Drosophila melanogaster: one gene and its partners. The protein of the gene in region 1 interacts with the protein of each later gene in a pairwise test. Each region holds a gene or a part of one and is shown in the gene's direction. Other genes may lie near its edges.

Region 1 (5,025 bases):
CACGGATGATTGGATAGTCGTTGAGTACTTTGTCGATCACGACAGCGATTATCTAGTAAGCATGTATGTTGTGCTATCAATCGAACCCACCCACCTCCCCTTCCCCTTCTCCTCCTTTTGACTAACCTATCGTTCCTTACTTTTGTGTGCGTCTTGCAGTACACCCTATTCTCGAGTGGATCGGTGAAGTGATCAGCGCGCTATCATGATCGTTCGCCGCTGCACTCGATCCCTCTCTACTTTCTTATCTATGCGGCGTTGAGTTGAGCTAAATTTGTCATTAGATGTGTCACATTGCTCTGGTTCTTGGTCTTCTGGTACAGTGATTACATGGGAAAGTCACTGTAATCAGTGTAACTGAATATGGAAATAAATGCTTCAGGGCTTCAAGAGGCGGAGCACTTGAGTGAGCAGCATGAGTTGATAAGATAGTACTTGAAACAAAGTAACTTGGTTGGGCAAGGCCTTTAAACTGTGTCGAAATTCAGAAACTTAGATGTTACATAATTACAAATAACTATTGGTTTTGTTATTCAAGTGTAGGTTTGAAAAAAAACAGTAGCCACTTTAAATATAATCAAAATTTTAAGAGATAATCATTTTTTAAAAGCTTAGAGCGGAAACTCGGTTTGAGCTGTATTCATCAGTAATAAAATGGTACTTAAATAGAGCAGTTAAGCGAAACCTTGGCAATATTCATGTGCAAATTAAGCAATTTCTATGCGTTCTTCGTGGCATCTAGCTGTATGAAAAACAGCTCTCAATTAAACGAGAACTTTATAGTTCTCATTCACTGTTGGTGGTTCTTTATAGCTACCCCTGTGCCCAACACTCCCCGCTGTTCTAGTTATTTTCGTTCAATTGATCATTTGACATTAACTCGTTGACGGCGGCCAGAGTTTTCTTTGCTGCTCTGAGATGTGATGAGATATTGCTATTGCTGCTGCGGATGATGCGAACTGCTCCTCGCCAGCATTGCCAGTTGCCCATGTCGCCGCCAATTAAGTGGGCTGAGTAACTCGCATAGAATTCCCTCCGCGTCATCGTTTAGTCCCCAGGCCGCCAAGATTCAGTATTTTAAGCAGTTGGAGCAGCAGCTCATCATCCGGAATGGGGCGAATGGCTGTGGCCTGGAAACATATCTGGAGGAGGATGCTTCACCCGGTGACGGAGAGAGCGTGGCCATTACCCGCTGCCTGCTGCTAAAACGGCAACGTAATCACTTTGATCTTGTGGCCCTCAGCGATATGCCTGTGGACAAGTACGCCGGCGACAATTGGATCATCGAGGAGTACTTTGTGGACCACAATGACGACTATCTAGTGAGTCGTCCCCATTCCGAGTCACAGATTGTCGGCGAATATCTTTCGTTTTCTCGTGATGCATTGTCGGTCCTACAATTTTATAGGAACACAACCTTTTTTCAAAAATATTGTGGAAAAAAATATGTACAGTAGTAATTGTAATCCTAACAAATTCCCTTCGTTGTTTTAAACTAAAATTGTTAGTTATAATCTGTATATGTGATATATGTACACATGTCGATTCAAGTCAAATGGTCGTCCATATATTATTCGAATTTCTGCAAACACAAATGTTAAGTCTTCTGGAAATTTTGGCATGATTTATTGGCAATGCTACTGCTTTGACCGCCGCTATATACACCGATTTTACACGGTGCCCACTCACTCTCCCTGTCTATATCATGCCCCCAAATACACACATGTTTATGGGCTCCCGAGAGCGACGCCTTGGGGATTCCTCTCCGCACTGTGCGCATGTTCGTCTAAACTACCTATGGCCCATGGCGCACAGCTGATACTTCTTTCTCGGAGATGCGCGCGCAGCTTCATCCGGCGGAAAAGCATCTACTTGCCATTTGCTCCGTGGCCATTGGAAAATTATAAATACACGCGCCGCCGAAAGTCTGCGCTCTTCTCATCTGCGGCCAGTTTTCGGCTGAGAATTTTCAAATTCGAGGAAACCGAAACAGATTGAAATCTACGTTTGTTGGCTGTGTGTCGCCGCCACTGCTGCCATATAAACCATATAAACTACATATTGTCGTCGCTTCGTCTTCGTCGTGTAACGGTACGGGTACCACGGGGATCCCCCGCACACTCGCTGTCTCTCTCTATCCGGTCAGATCCCCCCGATCTCTATATTGATCGTCTCCTTTCGCGCAATTTGTTTATCGATGTGTGTGTGTGCGTGTGTGGTGTGTGTGCGTTTCTTGTGCTTTGAATATTCCTTTTCTTTTTGTATTTGGCTGAGAAACACCAAATAATCGAATAGAACAATAATTAGAGGTACATACGGAGCGTATGTGCAATATAGAAACGCATTTCGGAACGATAGGATAGGTAGAACAATTGCTGGGCACCGTGACATAATCAAGCGCAAGAACAAAAAACAACCCAAAACTTAGAACATTTAAGTGTTTTAAAAATAAAACAGTAGCAGTGCGGCAAGAACAAAATTGTCGAAAGCGAAAAAAACATCAAACAAAACACTGAGTGTTAAAAAAAAGTGCGCGATATTCATCGGACTGTATTTGTTTAAACAAAACGCGATGCAAGATACCATAGCCAAACTGTTTTATTGACCCCCCGCCAATGGTGGCGAGTGTATAATTCGGAATAATATCAAGTGGGATACCATCCAGCCTGATGAGCAGCTGTGAAACGTCCAAAACGCTGATAGTGAACTTTGCACTTCTCCACCAAGTTTGCAATTAGCGAGGCGAAAGATACTTTTAATAGAAATAGCGTATGGGGATGGAGGAGACTAGTGCAACATTCACTCAATCGAATACACAGATAGAAATGAAGATAGTTTAAAAACATTTTGGACTATGGAATGATATATATCTTCAAACCATATTTCTTTGTTAACTATGTTCCAAAAGTTTAAGGGTCAACAAGTAAAAACAGTTTAGTTACTATTGTGCTTAGATAATATGGTGAATATGTTTTCTGTGTACTCGGAGATGAAGGCGAAGAAGACAACGCAGCGGCCAAGCAAATCAAAACAAAAACTCAAAACTAACAAATGGAGCACACACGTGTGTGTCCGTTAGTGTGTGTGCCACATAGATACAAACTATCTATATGTGCGCTACAGATCGGCGGGATTATTCATCAGGCTGCCACATCATCATCATGTTGATCTCCGCCGCTCCGGCGTCTCCTTCCGCTGCCCTCCATCCTCCACTTTCCGCTTAGCTGGCGTTTTCTATAATTTTCGAAAGCTATTTTCGTAAGGCTTGCATTTATATTTAGTTGCCACAACAAACTTATAGCAAAAATCCAAGACACAAACTTGTACATGATTAAATTTTGGCCATATGATGATGCCAACCAAAATAAAAGTCAACTGGGGTGGAAAACTTTTCCCCTTCAGATTTTCCAACTCGAATGTGTGTGCTTTCGGTACAGTGAAAGCTAAGCCAGAGCTCAGCAAAGATCAGAAAATTAATGGAAACTCAAAGTGAATTAAAAAATCCAATCAGTCGAATGTGATTATCAGAGATCAGAGATGCATCTTCCAAATGAGAGCTGTCAGTTCAATTTGCATGGCTGATCGAGGTTTCACTGTACTGGCACTAGCGTCACACGTACTGTGTACTAGGTATAACGTCGTCCATTTGTTAAAAATAAAAACAGATTTCGAACCGAACACAGAATGGCAGGGAAAGATGCCCAATGAACCCCACCGAGATATCACACATAGGCTAAAACGATCTCTCCAGGGATATTCACACATATTCCACACATCGCAATAGATTTAGGGCAAGGTGCAGATCTTTTGGCTAGAATCGCAAAGGGGTAGGGGGTTTGCTTTTTGATGAGGCGGCGCCGCGATCAATGAGCTCATTGCTGTTTACGATTTGTAATTTGTATATGTCTCTGCTCTATATACCAAAACAAATTGGGGGTGCTATACATGCTTGTACCCATATATATGTCGGATGTATATGGGCGCCAAAAAGAAGCAGTCTTTGGTCGAACGGCGACCATTGATACAATTAGTAAGTCAAGTCGTCGGGCATTTGCCAAAATGCCAATGAGACATTGACATTGAGCGTGCGATCGATTGTTCCGATCCGATCTGATCCGAATAGAACCAATACGAAATAATCCGATGTTGCGCAGGTTTCCTTTGGGGCCAACATTGGCAGCCTCGCGAGTCTTGCCCAGCTAGTCGAACCCAACGCAATTCGAGGGAGCCGCCAGTGCAATATTAGATAATCGAGTAATTTTTCCCCTTGGGATCCAGAAAGAAAGCTGACAATCAACCGAAAAGTTCACCACACCCCTTGGAATGTCCAACGAACTTAGCGAACTGATCGCCCTTGGCTGTCCAGACCTCGCGGCGCAAAAGCCGCAGGGCGGTAGCACCCAGGTGGAGTTGATCCTCAATACTGAGCGCCGCCTGAGCATAAAGCAGATGACGGCCACGGATTTGGCCACACTTAGGGCAGCAGCAGCCGCAGAAGCGGAGGCCAGATCTCGAGCACAGGCGGAGGCGGAAGCTCTAGCAATTGCCCAGGAACAGTTTCGTCAGGCCCGCGAGGCCGAGTCCAAGGCCAGAGCACGTGCTGCCCTCGAGGTGCAGGCTCAGCTGCAGCGGGTGATGGAGAGCGAGAAACGCAGGCAACAGGAAGAGGAGGAACGGCGCATCAGGCAACAGGCAGAGGAGGAGCAGGAGGATGATGAAGACGACGACAACGATGAGGAAGAGGAACTAACCAAGGGTTCCCTTCCAACCAATTCAGGTCCAAGAGAACGCATTGCTTCGCTACCCTGCAACATAGATGATGCCATGGAGATGCACCTTCTTAACGTTTCGCAGCCGAAGGCCTCTTCCAAAGATGACTCACCGCCTAAGAAGAGTACCTCTCACATAGCTGACTCGATTGAGCTGCTGAGAATGCAGCGAGCTGCTCGGGATGCCCGTTCCCACAATCGTAGTCGAGAGCGTTCCATTTCGCCAGATCGTAATCGCGAAAGGAGCGCTGCTCCA
Region 2 (7,967 bases), about 25 Mb from region 1:
CCCACCGTCTTCAATGATATATTTCCTTTTTGATTTGAATTTAATTTGTTTAGATGTTGCAACCCTGCAAAAACGGTGTCCTCAGTTGTTGGAGCTTGATCTATCTGATTGCAATAGTCTAACACCAACAGTCATTACTGCAATTATGAAGTTCAAGATGCTGGAATATTTGTCCGTCTCCCGATGCTATCTTATTCCAGCAACCAAATTTATGTAAGATTTTTCCAGCAAGCGTCTGATTAATCCCTACCCAGTCATTTTCCTTGCAGTGAACTTAAGAGTATGCCCTCGCTAACCTATTTAGACATATTTGGGATGCTGTCGGACACTGCAATGGAAGTCCTTGAGAAACAACTGCCAAAAATGGGTATAAACAAATTCATTCACAGTTCGGTATCCCGCCCGACTGTTGGCACGCGACGCACCTCCATTTGGGGTCTGCGCACGCGCGACTAAGTCTCGACTCTGCTGCTTCCGTTACCATTTGAATTTGTTTTGCTGCGTAAGCCACCCGTAACGCAGTTATTTTATTCTCAATTCAACAACATAAATAATCACATTTAGCTGTTCTTATTTTTGTGCGTTTGGTCACTGATCCGCTTCGCTAAGGGGCTCCACTGGTTTCTCCCATTCCCATTCCTCCCAGTTGACGCAGTTCTTGAGACTATCCATGAATCCTGTTTCGCTGGGGCACTTGATTTCAATGGCTGGTTTGTTAAGTGTCTCACACTTCCAATACGATGTGGCATCCCAATTGTTGCGGAAAACTACAATGTCTAGCTCGGCTTGGGTCTTGCAACCCGGCTGTCCGTCACCATCATAGGCGAGGGCAATGCCAAAAGAAATCACTAGTAGGGAGGTTAGAGCGAGCTGAACCTTCATCTTTCAAAAAATGTTCTATGGTCTACTGGAAGTACTCGAAGCCTTTTATAGTTACATAGTTGCAGCGGTATAGTATCCAAGTGCAGCTACTACCAGAAAATGCTTTTATAAATTGGCATTAATGTAAACACTCGAGAGAGGAAGGAAAAGATAACAGTACTTGCCCTTGACTCCAATCTGTTCAAACTAAAAAAGGTACAATGAGTCACCCAATTTTCCATTTAAAAATTCATTGTTTTTATACTATATTAAATATTTAAGAAAATAAACAAAAAATATGTCTTTTATCAAGGAAAGCATAATCAAGCCAATTCAAAACAAAATCATATAGGGAAACGACAAATATAAATATTTTCGATCTAGTTCGTAATCATAGGTTCAAGAACAAAGTTCGTATTGGACAGCCTGCCAAATTTAAAGATTCAGCAATATAAAAGTAACTAAAGCAAGAGAGAAGGCTATGGTCGAGTTCCTCGACTATCAGATACCCGTCACCCGTGGCAACATGGGTCAACTAACTTGCGCTGGGTATTTGTCTCTAGAATCTGTATGCTTAATCTCAACCTTCTAGCTTTTATAGTTCCTGAGATCTCGACTTTCATACGGACAGACGTACATGGCCAGATCGGCTATTGATCCTGGTCAAGAATATATGTACTTCATATGGTCGGGAACGCTTCCTTCTGCCTGTTTCAACGAATCTAGTATACTCTATTACTCTACGAGTAACGGGTAGAAATATAAAATTGAAACTATTTTGAGTCATCCCTCCAATTGGTAATTTTTTTATATATTAACGGAAATTTAAAGTGCGTTACAAAAGTAAAAATTCTTTTGGTGCTAGTATGCTTAACGGGGTGGACATTTCGGCGTTTTCCACACTTCTTGGGAAATCACTTTAGACAAATTTGTACCAATGTCGGTACTTAATAGTATTTAACTATAACTTACCTTTTGCCTTTGGTGTGAATAGGCTATTAAGCCAAAGAGTAAACATTCGTCGATTGTAACTCCCTTGTCATCGATGTTGGCCAATACGTGACAACATCGATAGTATCGATAACTATCAGGTTCAGGTTCGCCTGTATTGCACTATTTTGCTTCACACACGTAATTTCGGAATTTGCCAGAAAAACACCGATCTGCTATTGATCTTAGTCCAAAATTGCGTTTTTAAGTCGAAAAGACACTTTTCGGCTTTTAGATGGATGAAGACTCGGCTACGATACAGCTGGGGGATAGGCGTCTCGGTAACGCGGTCGATCATGATCTGCTTCCAGGGCCACCCGGCGTCGATGAGAAAAGCGGAAACGAGAACTGCGAGCCCAGGAGCAGTGGGTCGGGAAAGCGCGGCAAGTCGAATTCCAGGCGCCGTTCCACATCCCGTGGTCGGTCGGATTCCCGCAACACATCGCCGTCGAACACCCGGCGAAGGCATTCCCTGTCCCGCTCGCTGACTCCACCGCGTCGTCGTTACGATTCGCCCGATTATGGGCGGTACTCCCGACGGCGCTTTGATCGTGATCGGCGACGCTCCCCCGAACGCCGGCGCTCTCCGCCACGTCGCGGACGACGGTACGGACGATCCCGGTCCCGCAGCATGTCGCCCCGACGGGGAGGTCGATGGTCACCAAAAAAAAAACCGTCGTCGCCGCCAGTGCCCCCTCCGCATGGAGGACCACATCCTCAAATGACCCCTGGCTATGGAGCTATGGCCGCACATATCTACGGATCATACGTCGCTCCACCAGATGTTTACGGTCACCAATATGGAATTCCGCCTAACTCGTTTCCACCTCAGGGACCGGGGTACGGTATTCCAGGTGCCCCGCCGGACCAAAGCTCTTTTGGCTCTGGCTACGGTCCGCCTCCCACAAGCGCGTGGGACGTAAATGGTACGTTTCTAGACATTTAACGCCAAAAGCCCTTCATTTATTAAGCATATTATTTCCTGCAGTGTACGGTCAGCAGGTGTGGATTAACCAGCCTATTTCTGGGGTCCAGCCATCCGCTTCAGACTCCCTGATCCAGCCACAGAAGGCCCGCGAAACTCTCTCTGGCAAGACGATAGGCGAGGAGCAGTCGGTGCCAGCGCTCGAAGGCGCAGGTTTGACGCCTCAGGATGGTAAGTGTGGAAATGAATTACAATGTGATCACTACGAACATTCACATGCAAACCTCTCACATTGTTTTATTACTGTTGTCATGATTACTTGTACTTGTAACTTAATTGCGCGCAAATGAATCGCATACCAGAAATTACCAAAAGTCTAGGGTAAAGATCAGATTAATCAGAATCTAGAAGTACACGCGCTGCAAGAACTAACCAAGACCAACCCGAGCGATAGTCTCGAAATGTTAATTCGTTTCAAAAAGAAAATGCAGAGTTTCCGTTTTTGTGTGGCAGTCGAAACAAACAATTACGCCAACCTGGACGACCGCCGCCCCAACTGGCTCTTCATTCAACGAGGACTGGCAGAACAAGCAATCACGGCGACTGCATCCGAGTGTAATTAGCCGATGAAATGCACTCGAGAATGCATTTGTAAATGAAATTTTAACTTTTATTTATCTAGGAAGAATGTTTATTAATTAAAACCTATATATTTATCCCCCATATATATACCGTCGATCGGCAGCTGTTGCCCAAGAAGCGGAGAAGCAAAAGGACGAGCTTAAGAAACAGCGCGCTAACTATGTCAAAAAGGTATCGCTGCTCAAGAAGGAAATGAAAGTACTTAAGGACCAGCGCGAGGACCTGGCAGCAGGCGATGCCCCACCCTCGCCAACCACAAAGAATTTCATCGAAGAAAACGACCGCCTGCAGGTGAATTGGGATCCCAAAACCTTATCTGTTAGCCACTCTATGTAACCTGTTTTCATCCTGTATAGATGCAAATTAAGAAGAAACTTGACACAATTGAAAACGTTATAGATATGCTGAACGGCATAATTGGCTACGAAGAAGTTGAAGATGAACCATCTAACCAAAAGTCCCATGGCAAGACTCAACCGGAACAACAGGATAGTCGCTCGCACTCCTCCAGTGAGAGTTCTGCAGATAGCTCTGAATCCAGCTCATCATCTAGTACTGCTTCCGATTCGTCATCCGATAACGAAGACGGGGAAGGGGCAGGCGGCGCCGTAGGAAGTCCAACCAATCGGCTAAAGCACCGCGCCATAAAGTCGATGAAGTCAAAGCAGCTACATGGTGAAATGAAGGCAGTGCCAACCCAAGCACAAAATTACAATTTTGTGTTTTTCGATCCCGAGCAGCATTGGTGCGAGAGCTGTGGAGTTTTTCCAAAGTCTGCTCGAGACTATTTAAAGCACTTGCATGCCGAGGAACACATGAATCGAGAAACCATAGAAACTCCGTGGCATGTGGGTATTGACCACGATCCCTTTCCCACATTTGAAAACGCACCTGCCAGGCGCGTCCCCGTGAGGGGCATGCAATTTCTGGTGCCGGCTAACGCTTGGTTTTGCAAGCTCTGCAGTGTTTGGATTGGAGACTTGCACTGCGCTTCTGCTCATCTTAAGTCTAGGCTTCACTCCAATAAGTATCAGGTGAGTAGTAATATACATCTTTTAAAGCTCTTATGAAATATTTACTGTCACAAATATTCTTTACCATGTTAATTTAGGGTTTTGTATTTAATTAATAAAATATATATATTAAATATAAAAATACGGAGCTTGTAGGGCTGGTGGATAGAAGTACTTCCCAAAAACAAAATTGAAACAATAGTTTTGTTAAGATTGAACGTTATTTACATATCGTGAAATCATTTCTACGTTTAGCTTACATCAAAAGTTTTGTGTGTTAAATTTGCACTTAAGATATTTAGGTAAATTACGTTATTCACTTGTGCTTTCATGCATAAAAAAAGTTCGGATTTCAGGCATTTGCCATTCGCACATAATATCAGCTGTCACTACCCTTGGCAATGATGTAGTGTATGAGCAGAACAAGTTTGAAGATTGCTCCAATTGTCAACTTTTTTTTTTGCTGTAAAGTTGGCTTTTACCTTTGTGTCAATTTATTAATTATTAAATTGGCTTATTTTTAAAAGGTTAATTCTTCTTTTCCTTCCCAGCAACAAAATTTAATGGTAAGATGGGAATGTGAATGTAAATGGAGTAGCCAACATGTGCTTTAAATATATTGTTAGTACTTATGTAATCTTACTACAATCATAAGTTAACAATAAATAAATGGAAGCCTATAGAGGCATGTCCGTTTGTATGAACATCGAATTTTTGGGAACTATAAAAGATACCTAAGCATGCAGATTCTATTGAGGTTTTCGTGGCGTAAGTTTCTTTTAGAACATTGTCACACCACAAAGGCCACAAACGGTGGCTATTCTATGGTATTTGACGCCCAAAAACTGTCTCGCCCACACTTTTTAAAAATTTCATTATACCCGTTACTCGTAGTAAAAGGGTATACTAGATTCGTTGAAAAGTATGTTACAGGTCGGACTCGTTTGTGGCCATATAAAATAAGGATATTCCTGATCAAGATCACTAGCCGAGTCTGGCCATGTCCGCCTGTCAGTCCGTTTGTATGAACGTCGAGATCTCAGAAACTATAAGAAAAACTTCGAGAAGATTTAAGTTTATTCATTTCCCAATTTCTATCGACATGCCAAAAAAAATTTTATAGCTCTCGTTCGCACTTCCACTGAGTCACCAAAGGGTATCTAATAGTCGGGGACCACTCTTGTCAAAACTAACATAGGCCTTCCACTTACCTTTCTCGTATATATTTTATAATTGCTTTTATTAATTCTTCGCCTCATGCAATTATTCTCCTGTCAATTTGGAATATATTATTGACTTTTTGTACCCGTGCATTGCAGCAATTTTTAAATCAGAACCCCAACTATGAAATAGAGTGGCAAACAAACCGCGAGCGGGCCATGAATCAACAGAAAGATCACGATGATGCCAAGAATAAAAAGTCCAAGAAAGACGAGGACAAGGCGTCCAAAAAGAGGAAAAAAAAGGGGTAAGGGTCATAAGAATAATTTGAATCCAGATTATATTTTATATTTGTTTCTTTTTTACAAACAGCGGGGACAAAAAAAAAAAGAAGCGCAAGCACGGAAAGAAGAGCAAACGTAGTACAATAGATGCAAACAGCACATCGTCATCCTCCGATAGCTCTTCGTCGGAAGAGGAAAATGGACAGCAACCAAAGAAAGGTCGTACCGAACAGCAACCAATTTGTCAATCAGATAAGTCGACTAATGCAGCATCAATACGAGTGGCCATGAGAAAGCAGGAAAGCACACCAACAAATTTGAAGCCGGAAGTGCCTTGTCAGCCTGTGGTGCCGCCACCGCCACCGATCATAAAGGATTCCACAATTCCTTCAGAACGGGGTAAATGGACTGCCGCCAGTGTCGAAGACCAAAGTAAGGATCAAAAGAACCGGGATGATACCATGCTCAAGCAATGGAATAATGTGCAGCCTGTTATAAGTGAGAGTGAAAAAAAGTTGTTGGAGCAGCTTAAAGGAAGGCTGAAGAACAAGGGAGCCCGCGACCAGAACAACCACAAAGCAGTACCAACAGAAGCGAATGATGAAAAGTTTAGGCGGGGTGGAGGACGTCATTCTCGTTCACGTTCTAAGCGGCGCAGCTACTCTCGAAGCATAAGTCGCGGGCGGGATCGAGATCGGCGGGATCGTGAGCGAGATAGAGACCGTGGTCGTAGGCGTCGGTCACGCAGTCGTGGCCGACACTTCTCTCGTTCGCCCATAAGATCTAGTCGAAGAAGTCGATCCCGTCAGGGCCGAAGTCGACGCAGTCGTAGTCGCTCTATTGAACGGGTAGAGCGTCCCGTGGTCAAGCATTCCGAGTTTCGGCCCCGTACTGTGCCGGAACGCAAGCAAACTGATATAAAGCGCGACAAGAAGGATGCAGAAAGCAAGTCAAAGTCATCCAAGCCCAGTAACAATTCCTTGCCTGGAGGCAAAAAACTACCTTTCATCGGTAAGATGCCAGTATTTAAAAAGCAGTCTGTTCCATCTTTCAACTATGATGCTTCTGCTGTCTACACCAACGGCTGTTTGGAGGCACCACCTCCACCGCCACCTCCATTGGGCGGAGCGACAAGTCAGATAGCTGTGCGTCAACAAGCACCGACAGCTGCGCAGATTCAGATGGCAATGATGGAAGATGCTTTTGGCAATGCTCCCCCATTTCATCCAGATGCGGGTATGATGGTAGATTACGATGAGCTAATGCCAGATCCTGTCCAGTTCGCCAATTTAATGACGAGCTGCCCACCACCTCCGCCGCCTGGAGAAGGCTCTGAAGGTGATGCCCATGGCCCTGAGGATGGCGATCAGCATGACAACGAAAACCGAGAGGACGTCTTGCCCCCAGGCATTGATGAAGCTGAATCTGCCCTGGTACCGCATCCGTTAGACGCTGCGGCACAATCCCGAGACGGGGAACTCCCAAAGGACCTGGTCGAAGCGCTTGACATAATATTCCCCAGCGACGTAGCGATTTTGGAGGCATCAAATGGAAACAGTGAAAAGCAGGAAGATGTGACTATCACCACCATTGTTGAAGATGACGCAGTGCTCAGTGTGATTCATCTTCAAGATTTAGCTAAAGAGGGTATTCACCTTGTAACTATCAATGAAGCAGAGGTACCTAAAAAGTCACATATTCAAACATCGGAGAAGATTGAAAAGTTGCAGGATTTAAATGGCAAATCGGACGACGGAGTAAACATAAAACTGATTGACGCAGAGGATATCCCAATGCCGAATTCGCCTCCGGCTGAGCCGTCATTTGACGAGGAGACGAAAAGCAAGGCCTTACAGAAGCAAGCTGATATCTCAGAAATACCAGAGCCGGCTGTATCGCCTTCAGACAGTGAGAAGCTTCGTCGTCAGTCGGAGCTTGACGAGTTGGCTATGCTGGGAATCGACAGGAGTGACATGGCGGCACAATGTATGTAGAACGTGTCTTTCTTTGCTATGTATATTATTCTTTTTTTTTAATTAAATTAGAAACTGTGCTATTTGAGTCTTAAATGAGTTCTACATTATTTTTTCT
Region 3 (5,703 bases), about 17 Mb from region 1:
TCGTCATCAGAAAGGGCTATGGAAGAAGAGGAATATCTAATAACTTCTAATAATATCGTGTAATTAACGAACCAAGTGCGATCTTTGCATTCACTAGAACATCAGTAAGATTATGCACATCTTTTGTGGCTTTACGCAACTCCTTTGTGAACGCCATGTCTACGAATTCCACATCCTCCACATTCTCGGAGACCTGACTGTCCGCTATTGTTTCTTCGCTCGCTGACATGTTTCTTTTGCGCAGCTATTGTTCCCAATTACAAAGTAAAATATATTCCTTATCTACGTGATATTTGCAAAATACGCCGTCTTTGTTTTGTTTTGAACTCCACGCCAGTGTGGCTGTCTAACTAAAATATACTGAAATTAAACGTAAATATACCAAATTGCTTTATAGCACCAGCGGGCATTTCAGAGTCGCCTGCAACTGGCCATACTGTTGATTTGGCTGTAGTTGCTCCGCTTATTTTTATTTTGTTTAGTAATTTAGGAAAGTAATAGTTTAAGATCAAAGTGTTAAAACCGCAATAATTGTAAGTGTTGCATGCGCTAAGAGCAACTGCTAAGTAACACTTTAGTTTTAGTAAACACACAAAGCGACGGATTCTTAAGACCGCACGCGTGAAATTGACCACTCTATTCTTTTACTTACATTTCGCTTTGCAACCAAACACCCACGCACACACAATCACCGACTGCAGTTGAGAAAGCAGGAGGACACACAACATAAGCAGCAACAACAACAAGTACACTAACGCTTTTGGCTTTGGTTCTGCACTCTTACCCACTCCCCAAAAATCCGCCCAACTTACTGTACTTTCCCCAAACACTTCCAACCAACCGACCTACCACCCACTTGATTTGACTCTGAAGAAACCCAAAAGCAATGTCGGATCTCTTTACCACTTTCGATAGCAACGGCGTCGCCGAGCACCACCTGCACCACAACCACAACTCCACATCGTCCGCCAGCGGACTGCTCCACGACCCACCCATGGCCTCGCCCTCCCAGCACAGTCCGATGACCAACAACAGCAACTCATCCTCGCAGAACGGCGGACCGGTTTCCGGTTTGGGTACGGGAACGGGCCCCATATCTGGTGGTAGCAAGTCATCCAATCACACATCATCCGCCGCCGGTTCCGAGAACACTCCCGTAAGATGCGTGCCTTATGGAGTGCACACGGAATACGCCAGGGTCTAGTTTAACTCTCTTCCGAATTACAGATGCTTACCAAACCGCGTCTCACAGAGCTCGTCCGAGAGGTGGATACCACCACGCAGCTGGACGAGGATGTTGAGGAGCTTCTGCTTCAGATCATCGACGACTTTGTCGAGGACACCGTCAAGTCGACGAGCGCCTTCGCCAAGCACCGAAAGTCTAACAAGATCGAGGTGCGCGACGTGCAGCTGCACTTTGAGCGGAAGTACAACATGTGGATACCCGGCTTCGGTACGGACGAACTGCGTCCCTACAAGCGGGCAGCTGTCACGGAGGCGCACAAACAGCGCCTTGCCCTCATACGGAAAACGATCAAGAAATACTAGAGGATTGGATCTAATCGGGTCGAGGCTCTGTTTCGGTTTGCCGGATTTCGCGTATGCTAAACGTGCACACGCCACAAACTAATTTAAGCTCCAATTTAGATTAAATAACAAATTATCGTCGCTCTATTGTAGATTTATTGTAATAAAAGTGCACTATTGATTTCACATTCAACAATTGGTCACCGTCAGCAGTAAATTTTAAGTCGTGATTTTTTAATCACAGTTTCTAATGGTTCTGTAATATTTGTATTAATTGTTTGTCTGGTGGATATTGATTTATATTTTTCATAATTTAACAATTTCTTCAGTTTATTTTAAAAATATTTGTGTAATATTTCCCTTTGAAAATAATTAGCGGACTCTGCTGAACGCACCCAATTAATTGCTGTATTTTTTAACAACGTGGTATTTTTTTAATGACCGAACGGTATTTTCCATCTCTCGCATCAAGGTCATACCATCAATAATGTTGATTTTCTGATTGTTGATTTAAAATTAAAAAAGCTTTCAATTGGCCAAAACAAATTTGTTCGCCATGAAGCTGCCGGTGATTTGTCGCACGTGCGACTCCACGGACACCGACAACCTTCTGAAGCTGGCCACGCCCTCGAAAAAGTATCCGGACAAGTTGCTTTCGGAGATTTTATGCGAGCTAACCGAAATCAATGTAAACAAAGTTCTAAGAAGCGAAATCTACGAAAAATGCAAACTAAAATGAAACATTTACCTTTCAGCTGGATGCAACTGGTAGTCAGAAATTTCCGCAATGCTTGTGCAGTGGATGCACCAAAAAATTAATGGGTGCCTATTGCTATGTGAAGCAGGCGATGGCCGCCAACGAACTTCTAATGAAGCATCTAAAGAACGGTGCTGCTCCAACGTCAACCGACTGTCTGCAGGAGGCGCCGATGGAGCTGTGTGCTGAGCAGCATGTGGAAGTCAAGCTGGAGACTGAGGATGAGGACTGTGGCGAAAATGATGTTACTATCACTTGTTCCGAACTACCGGAACCGGACGAAACGGACATGGAGAGCAAAAAGTCGGTGGACCCACTGACCATGATTGAAACGGTGAAGCTGGAAATGGAACCCAGAAGCGTGGAGAAGCCAGCGTATGACGATCCCACATCGGACTTTGAAGACGAAGAGTGGGTGACAATTGGAATTTCCCAACTACTTTATTTTAACTAACTAATCTTGCAGCTCCCTGGATAATTTGCCACTGTATAATCGCATTCAAAAGTGGAAAACAGGAAGAAAGTCTGTATATAAATGTCACGACTGCCCTAGGAGTTTTAAACGATTCGACTTCTTGAAACGCCATGAAATGCGCGTCCATAAGCCAGAAACTCGATTATATGACTGCTCCCTTTGCATTCGCAAGTTCAGCCGCAGCGAAGCCCTCGAAGCACACCTAAAAATTCACCGGAATTCAAAACGATCGGCCAACATTAGCGAGCACAAGAAGGCCAAGGCTGTGGATTTGAATCTCTGCAAACCGCATGGCTACAAGCTGATTGAGTGCATGATCTGTCAGAGCCAATACAACAAGATTGCTGATCTGCGCCGGCATTTGGAGGAGCACCCCGATATTGTTAGCCTGTGCGGTCGGCCAAATATGGAGCCCCATGAGCTGGCAGAGCTGTTTTATCCCGATTCAAAGGACCTCAGTGAGGAGCAGTTAATCAACTTGATTCGCAAGGATCTAGCGGCGGGTATCTATCAGCGTTTCTATTCGATAACGAACCAAAGTGGCTACGAAATGGATCTGGACAGCTCGGAGACGGACAGCGACCTGGACGGAGATCACGATGACCAGCACAAGAGGCGAAAGAAGTCGCGCAAAGCCACCTACAGCTGCGAGCTGTGCCAGCAAAAGTTCCCGCGAAAATATCAGCTTTATGACCATCAGCGACAAAGTCACAGTTGGTCAGACGCTCCTCACGTCTGCGGGCGATGTGATGGACGTTTTGTAAGTCTGCAGCTGCTGCGCCACCACAACGAGTCGCAGTGTAGGAATGCACAAAAGCGATTTCTCTGCCACAAATGCCCGCTACGCTTTCGCTGGAAACACAACCTGAAAACACACTTCCGCGAACACAGGATTACAGTAAGTTAATCTAAGAATTGTTCAGGCTACAGACCCATTGCATCTATGAATTTTACAGAATCAAACGTTTGAATGTTCCGAGTGCAAACGGGTCTTTGATAAAAAGAAATCCCTCACCGTTCACCTGCTTAGCGTACATGCGGAGGAATCCAAGCTGATTCCCTGCCAGTGGTGCAGTCGCAAATTCTATCGGCACGACTACTTGGTAAAACACTTGAAGCGACACGGTTTGAAAGAGCATGACATTCCCTTGGCAGAAACATTGATTGCTGCCACCTCGCGGCCAAACGGAGCGAAGCGCATTACTTGCCGCATGTGCAATCTGCATTTCGAGCGTATTGTTGATCTGCGAGCCCATATCCAGTTGGAGCTTAAGCTATCCCTGTCGCTACACCAGAGCTACGACTCCCCGCATAATTATTCAATAACAAACGAATCTGGCTTTGAGCTGCAGCTGGAGGATTCGGAAACCGAAGACGAGATGCAGCCCGGTGTGGGCAGTCGCCCCGTATATATTTGCGAGCTGTGCAGCGTGCAGTGCAAGCGGAAGTTCGAAATGATCCAGCATCAGCGGACGATGCATCGCTTTGACAAAATGCCACACGAATGCGACGACTGCATCTTTAAATGTGTCTCCAAGGTGAGGTTTTAAATGTGTATTCTACATTTAACCAGTATAGATACATTATGTCAATTTCATTATTGCTTCAGAGCATTATGGACCACCACCGGCAAGGTCAGTGTAGTAGTACAGAAAAGAAGCATGCATGTGGCAAGTGTTCCTACAAGTTTATGTGGCCAGAGAACCTAGAGCAGCACATTCTCCTGCAACACAGCAAGTCTTCCGTCAGCAATCCGACTGGCGACAGACACACGCAAGGGACCGGTGACCTGGAAAAGGATGCCACTGAGGACGGAATACCGCTGCTACAGTGTCCACACTGCGATCGCACGTACCAGATGAAGTCGCGCCTGAACAATCATATTCGCGATGTGCACATTAACGGCGACCGCAAGCGCAAGGAGGCAATTAAGCGCTTCCTCTGCTCCCTGTGCGGAATGGAGACGAGATCAGCCGCCGCTCTTGTGACCCATATGCGACGCCACACTGGCGAGAAGCCCTTCAAGTGCGATCTGTGCGAAATGGCCTTTCCCCGCCACTCAGAGCTGGCCTCGCACCGCCGGATGCACACCGGCGAGAAGCCATTCCACTGCACCGTCTGTGGCAAGGACTTTGCCCGCTCCGATAAGCTCAAGCGCCATATGCTTACGCACAGCGGCCTAAAGCCGCACAAATGCACCTACTGCGAGAAGAGTTACCGTCAGGCCAAGGACCTGAAGCTTCATCTCCAGCAGCACACCGGCGAATGTCCTTTCGTGTGCGGCACCTGTGGCGAGCGCTTCATCCAGAGCAGCACGCTGGAGAAGCATCGGTTGATGCGGCGTCACTTCGACGAGGTGGAAGCGTGGCTGAGACGCCAAAAGTAAGGGGCTCTTGCAATAAATACAATTTGGTCTAGTATAAAAGGAATGACATTATTATTTATTGGTCGTGGCGTGGCATCACTTCAGAAACAAGACAAATTACTACTTTAAATATTTGAGCATTAAATGTTTATGACTTTAGTTGAAAGTAAACTTTGGGTGTAGCATGGAATGCCTATTTGTGGCCCTATTCGCTTTACAGCTCTTCAGATCCAGAGCGCGGTTCGATTTTTACCAACTCCGTATCGAAGACGAGCACCGCATTGGGGGGAATCTTTCCGCCACCCGCTCCACTGGCTCCGTATCCCAGCTCAGGCGGAATCGTCAGCTTTCGCTGCTCACCCTCACACATACCAAGGATTCCCTGATCCCAGCCCTTGATCACCTGCCGAGCTCCCAGGGTAAAGGAGAAGGGAGTGCCGCGGGAGTAGCTGCTATCGAACTCTGTTCCATCCTGCAGTGCTCCCTAGAATGATTCCAAATTCGGGGTTAGGTCGGCTAGAGATCTTCCTTATCTGATTTCCCTTACTCTGTAGTGCACGTGGACGAGATCGCCGCCCT
Region 4 (4,955 bases), on another chromosome or scaffold:
CGGGTATAAATGATAAGGAAAACTCCCTAATTACAAACAAGAATTTTCCGGGTGCGCGCAAAATAGTGAAGGAAATACAAAGAAAAGGGTTGACGAAGATCGCGCCTGGGAACCTAATAACCCCGATTTTCCACCAACTTCGACATTGGAGTTGAAGTTTTCGATAAGCCGGCGATGGAAAATAGATATATATATATATATATATGTGTGTATATGTACGTGTCCCCAAACAGCCATAGATTTTTTAATAAATATTTGAGATGGCATTTTCACTTAAGCCACGGCATGGAAATCCATTGTGTGCAAACAGGAGGTTGGTTAGCAACCCTAAGCGGAAAATTTGTTTAAACAACTGAGCAAATATCGCCCGCTGGAGAGGGGTAACTTTTTTATGTACTCCCTCTTCGCATATTTTTTTTTTTTTGGGAATTTCCCCCCCAAAAAACAAAAAGAAATTGAAAATTGCTAAGCCGGCAATCAAAATACAAACATCAGGCGAAACTCAACGAGTACCATTGTTGTCCAACTGAAGCACCTGAATTTATGGCACAAGGACATACCACCACACACACACACACACACCTCCCCCCCCCACACACACACAACTACCACCCCCCTGGTGAGTCACGGTTTAAATGTGCATTTCGCAACACATTTACGATCCTTTCTACTCGTAATCCCTTCAATCGCGCTCTAAACTGCTAACTGGTTCCTGATTCCCCAGGATTCCTGGTCGCTGGCGCTTTGTTGCTCTAAATAGCCCTTTCCAAATCACTGGACTCGCACAAAGGACTCGCCCTCAATTGCGCAACTATTTCGATTTCAAAAAAAAAAAATCAAATTAAATAAAATAAAATAAGTGAAGAGGAGAGAAATGGGCCAAACTGGGCGCGCAGCCAAAGAGGATATTTAGTTATATATGAAAATAAAGTTTCAAAGGATCTCAACTATAGAATTTGAAGGCACCTATTGGCCTATTAAAACGATTTATACAGATATGTTTCTTTTCGTATTCAAGTAAAGTAAAAAGGCGAAAAAATTAAAAATGGAACAGTAGCTCCAAGATGACCAACGATGACGGTCAAGAGACGGATGCGGGCTCCACAGTCCAAGAAGGTGATATCGTTCTTCAAGAATCATCGCCGCATGCTCCGCAGGCAGGGCATCGAGGATCTGCTGCATCTGGCCGAACGTGGCCACGTCGAACCGATTAGAGATAGAGACTAGGAGATCGGCATCGAATGCTACATATACGGTATTTATTCCACATTTCCATTCAAATTTGAAAAGCTTAGTTTAAGTTCTAGGATTATTGAATTCCTCTTGCATTTAAATATTTTGTAGTCTACTTTTAGCCGTCTTTAAGAACGACTTCAACCCTCTGCTAATCAGAATGTTAATTCTAAAGCTGGTCGCATTTCTTATTAGAATAGCGTTAGATGTTTTGCGTACTCATCAAAAATTTCCCAATTGAATTAATCATTACTTATGCTACTACTTATGCAGCATTGTCCTTCCTGGCATTGACTGTGACTATTACTATATTATTGTAGGAAGGACTGCACGCATACCAAGAGCGCGATAAATAGCGATGACAGCAGCGAATTTTCCCGCAACGAAGCCGACGACCAGCGAACTTAAGCTCTTTTGGCCATCTAAAGGATGGAAACATTCGATATATTAGCCAAGCCGCTAGCCAGTAACTTATATAACCCATATTAGCTATTTCAAGATTTAATAAATTGTTCCGGAGGCCATATATTTAAAAAATGTTGGTTTGCTCATATTTGATTTTTAACCATTACATATAAGGCTGAACAGCTTTTTCTAGCCAGGCTGGCAGCACTGCCGGATCAGCTGACTGACTTTTCTGTGTGCGCGCCATCCCTAGAAATTAACGTGCTAGTGGAAGTGGAAGCGAATTGAAATCGCGCGCTGCTCTATTCGCTTGTTTATGCCAAAGTCCATGGCTACATTGGATCGGATCTGTAATTAGTCGTCTGGAGGAACTGGACGGATTGGCTCAGTGACACCATTAGCCATTGACTTTTCTAGTGAGTTCGAGTTCCACACAATGTTCTATTCTAGCGCAGATATGGAATAAAAAAAAATATATTTGGCTTGGTTTGTTATGTAAAACGCGTATCAATTCTCTGGCGCGTTGATAACAGCAGCAATTCAGTTGATAAACAAACACAAAACCCATGCGGAAACAATTGAAACGACCCCACACCCCAACACCGCCACCCACCACCCACACGCACCTTGGGTTGTCGCTCAAGGTTGCGCTAGAGATGAGCAGGAAGCAGTGACTGCTATCGTGATTGCCATTAATATTAGTATTAGTATTAGTATAGTGATAACACAGTTTTTTATATATATGTACATATATAGTGATACTTTCAGTTGAATCTATATTTTAGTTTCATTATACTCATGTCACCGGTTTTCTGTCAAAGTCACACTGTTCTGCGCATCTCTATCGCCACTATTTGTTACTGACGTTAGCGCCAAATTCGAAATGTCAAGAACAGAAATCCGAACGTAACAGCGGCCATATCGCTTATCTAGCGACGGCGGCAGATAGTGGCAACCTGCTCCTCCGTCTCGCTCTGCTCCGCCCATCGCAGCAGATTTGCATCGTTGTTTGGAGCCATGCGGCTATTTCACCTCTTTCACCTGTCTGTTTGCCTCGTTTCACACACACACACAGCATGCCCAGGAATTGGCTTCACCTCGCATTGTGGATAAACTGAGACGGTAAAGTCGTTGTCGCCGCCACCGCCTCCGCCACGCCCACCAAGCGGACAGCACCCAGATCTCCGGTTGCGAACTAGTAGTGACGCCAACGTGGTCGATCGCCGTCGTCGTCATCAACAACGTTGTGTTCGTCGAACTGTGAGATTATTTAATGTTGGCCACCGGTTTTCTGGCTCGCAGAACCGTACTTAACCAGCCGGCGTTCAATTCATGGAGCACACTCCTCCGGACCGCTAGAAAACGACCCACATCCACGGTTGCCGCCAGAGTTCCATTAAAGCTTCAGTCACAGCAGCAATTTACAAGAGCATACTCGTCGTAAGAATTGAAAGATGTACATACATATGTATTTAACACATGATTGAAAACTATTTGTATCCCACGATTTAGCTCCAAAACCATGGACACGCCGGCGGATGTATTCCGCGGCATTACGGATCGATTTGCCGGAGTAACAGTCGATGGGCGCGAGGAGAACGTGGACAAATCCAGTTTCCGGGACAAGCTCACAAGTAAGAATATATATCTTAAAATATGTCGGTATCTTTGCCTGGACGTATATTTTTTGTATCATTGTATCTTCTAAGTCTTCGTGCTATCATAAGTTGATTAAAAGTTTATCTATCTAAAGTTGGGGTACTAAATTAAATTTCCAAAATCATTGCTCTCCACTTTTATCAATTTAAAAGTTGTCTATGACTATAAATAGTCATAGACAATAAACGGCTTATAATTTTAATTAAATCTGTGTCACCAATTACCAAATTATATTAATAACGAAATACCTTTTAGAATCCCTGGACTTTTGGACGACGAACAAGAACCGGGCCATTTGGTTCCGCGTGTACAAGGAGCAGGCTGATTGGGTGCCCATTCTGGCGGAGAACGGCTTTGATTTCCATCATGCCAAGACCGGTGTGGTGGTCATGTACCGCTGGTTGCCGGAGCACGAGTCTAGCAACCTACCCACCTACGCCCACACGCTAATGGGCGTCGGCGGACTGGTTATCAACGAACAGGACGAGGTGCTGGTGGTGTCCGATCGTTTTGCAATGATACCAAACAGCTGGAAGCTGCCCGGCGGCTATGTGGAGCCGCGGGAGAATCTCATCGATGCGGCAATACGAGAGGTGGCCGAGGAGACGGGAATCCGCACCGAATTCCGCTCAGTGGTCAGTCTGCGGCATGCCCATGGCGGCACCTTCGGCTGCTCCGACATGTACGTGGTCATCGCCCTAAAGCCACTGAATTTGGACTTTACGCGCTGCGAACGCGAGATAGCGCGCATCCAGTGGATGCCCATCGCGGAGTATCTGAAGCATCCGCAGGTCCACGAGACGAACAGGCAGTTCGTCTGCACCTTTTTGGACTACCAGAAGCGCGGCCTGACCCTCACCTGTCGCGACGAAGTGCATCAGGTGCTAAAGAAGAAATACAATCTGTATTACGTGGATCGGGAGCAGCCACAGGAGCAGCAGGATAAAAAGAATTCGTGAGACTTGTCGGTGCAATGGCCAAATCCTTAGTGCAATTTTTATAAAGTCCTTTCTTCCAAAAGCCAGCAGCATCACAACTGCGCATTCAAATGTTCACAATGTAGTCAATAAATGAATTTTTTTGTATATAATTATATGCATATATCAATTAAAGCTCACACAGCCTTTTACAAAAGCTTTTCTTTTGATACCATTTTTAGAAACGCCAATAATTTAAAATATGGCATTATTTTGAATATGACGCCCAAACATGGTAAATACTTCCTTAGAAGGTAAGCCAATAAGGATTAAGGATGTAAGCTTCATACTTTGAAAAATATGTTTATTAAAAACAAAAATGAAAAGAAATTATTATTCTCTCCTGTTTTTTTCAACTTATTTTCAATGATATGCAAAAACCAGAAGTCGCACAAATGAGACGAAACTCGCATACGTAATGATTCTAAAAAGTTGTGGTTTGATGTACTATAATTTCCAAACGAAACATAGGCCATTTATTGGGTCAAGTTGATTTTAAACTCTTTGTTGTACGAATGCCATCTATAGACCCGTGGCCTCGGATATCGGCCAGATGCGGCAGAGCACGCGGCTCCGGATGAGGCCCACCGGAATGGGTCCGTAGTAGCGGGAATCCGAGCTGTTTCCCTTGTTGTCACCCTCAATCCAAACGTGTCCGCGCGGCACATAGTCCTTGACCAT

Evidence for each region.
Region 2: the proteins of Doa (region 1) and CG9776 interact in a two-hybrid assay, tested with the Drosophila melanogaster proteins (one large-scale study listed by BioGRID).
Region 3: the proteins of Doa (region 1) and CG18476 interact in a two-hybrid assay, tested with the Drosophila melanogaster proteins (one large-scale study listed by BioGRID).
Region 4: the proteins of Doa (region 1) and CG8128 interact in a two-hybrid assay, tested with the Drosophila melanogaster proteins (one large-scale study listed by BioGRID).

Annotation. Positions count from the first base shown.
Region 1 is NT_033777.3:28,901,485-28,906,509, forward strand, and holds the start of Doa (darkener of apricot), read left to right. Parts: upstream 1-1,993; 5' UTR 1,994-2,091; intron 2,092-4,154; exon of another isoform or gene 4,155-4,278; 5' UTR 4,279-4,323; coding exon 4,324-5,025. UniProt on the Drosophila melanogaster protein: Dual specificity kinase involved in the negative regulation of microtubule-based transport through phsophorylation of the microtuble-binding protein eEF1gamma.
Region 2 is NT_033777.3:4,328,032-4,335,998, reverse strand, and holds the start of CG9776 (uncharacterized protein), read left to right. Parts: upstream 1-1,927; 5' UTR 1,928-2,086; coding exon 2,087-2,777; intron 2,778-2,839; coding exon 2,840-3,007; intron 3,008-3,521; coding exon 3,522-3,709; intron 3,710-3,774; coding exon 3,775-4,452; intron 4,453-4,952; exon of another isoform or gene 4,953-4,994; coding exon of another isoform or gene 4,995-4,997; intron 4,998-5,750; coding exon 5,751-5,899; intron 5,900-5,964; coding exon 5,965-7,862; coding exon of another isoform or gene 7,863-7,870; exon of another isoform or gene 7,871-7,942; intron 7,943-7,967. Other genes in the region: Skp2 (S-phase kinase-associated protein 2), read left to right, coding at 54-213, 270-456; CG14645 (uncharacterized protein), read right to left, coding at 589-882.
Region 3 is NT_033777.3:11,674,397-11,680,099, reverse strand, and holds CG18476 (uncharacterized protein), read left to right. Parts: upstream 1-1,983; 5' UTR 1,984-2,083; coding exon 2,084-2,215; intron 2,216-2,282; coding exon 2,283-2,695; intron 2,696-2,750; coding exon 2,751-3,657; intron 3,658-3,715; coding exon 3,716-4,297; intron 4,298-4,368; coding exon 4,369-5,145; 3' UTR 5,146-5,180; downstream 5,181-5,703. Other genes in the region: Ho (heme oxygenase), read right to left, coding at 1-16, 73-229; Taf12 (TBP-associated factor 12), read left to right, coding at 887-1,156, 1,228-1,548; CG14715 (uncharacterized protein), read right to left, coding at 5,339-5,608, 5,672-5,703.
Region 4 is NC_004354.4:15,695,610-15,700,564, forward strand, and holds CG8128 (uncharacterized protein), read left to right. Parts: upstream 1-1,884; 5' UTR 1,885-2,054; intron 2,055-2,423; exon of another isoform or gene 2,424-2,713; 5' UTR 2,714-2,911; coding exon 2,912-3,078; intron 3,079-3,150; coding exon 3,151-3,272; intron 3,273-3,552; coding exon 3,553-4,256; 3' UTR 4,257-4,425; downstream 4,426-4,955. Other genes in the region: CG9240 (uncharacterized protein), read right to left, coding at 4,797-4,955.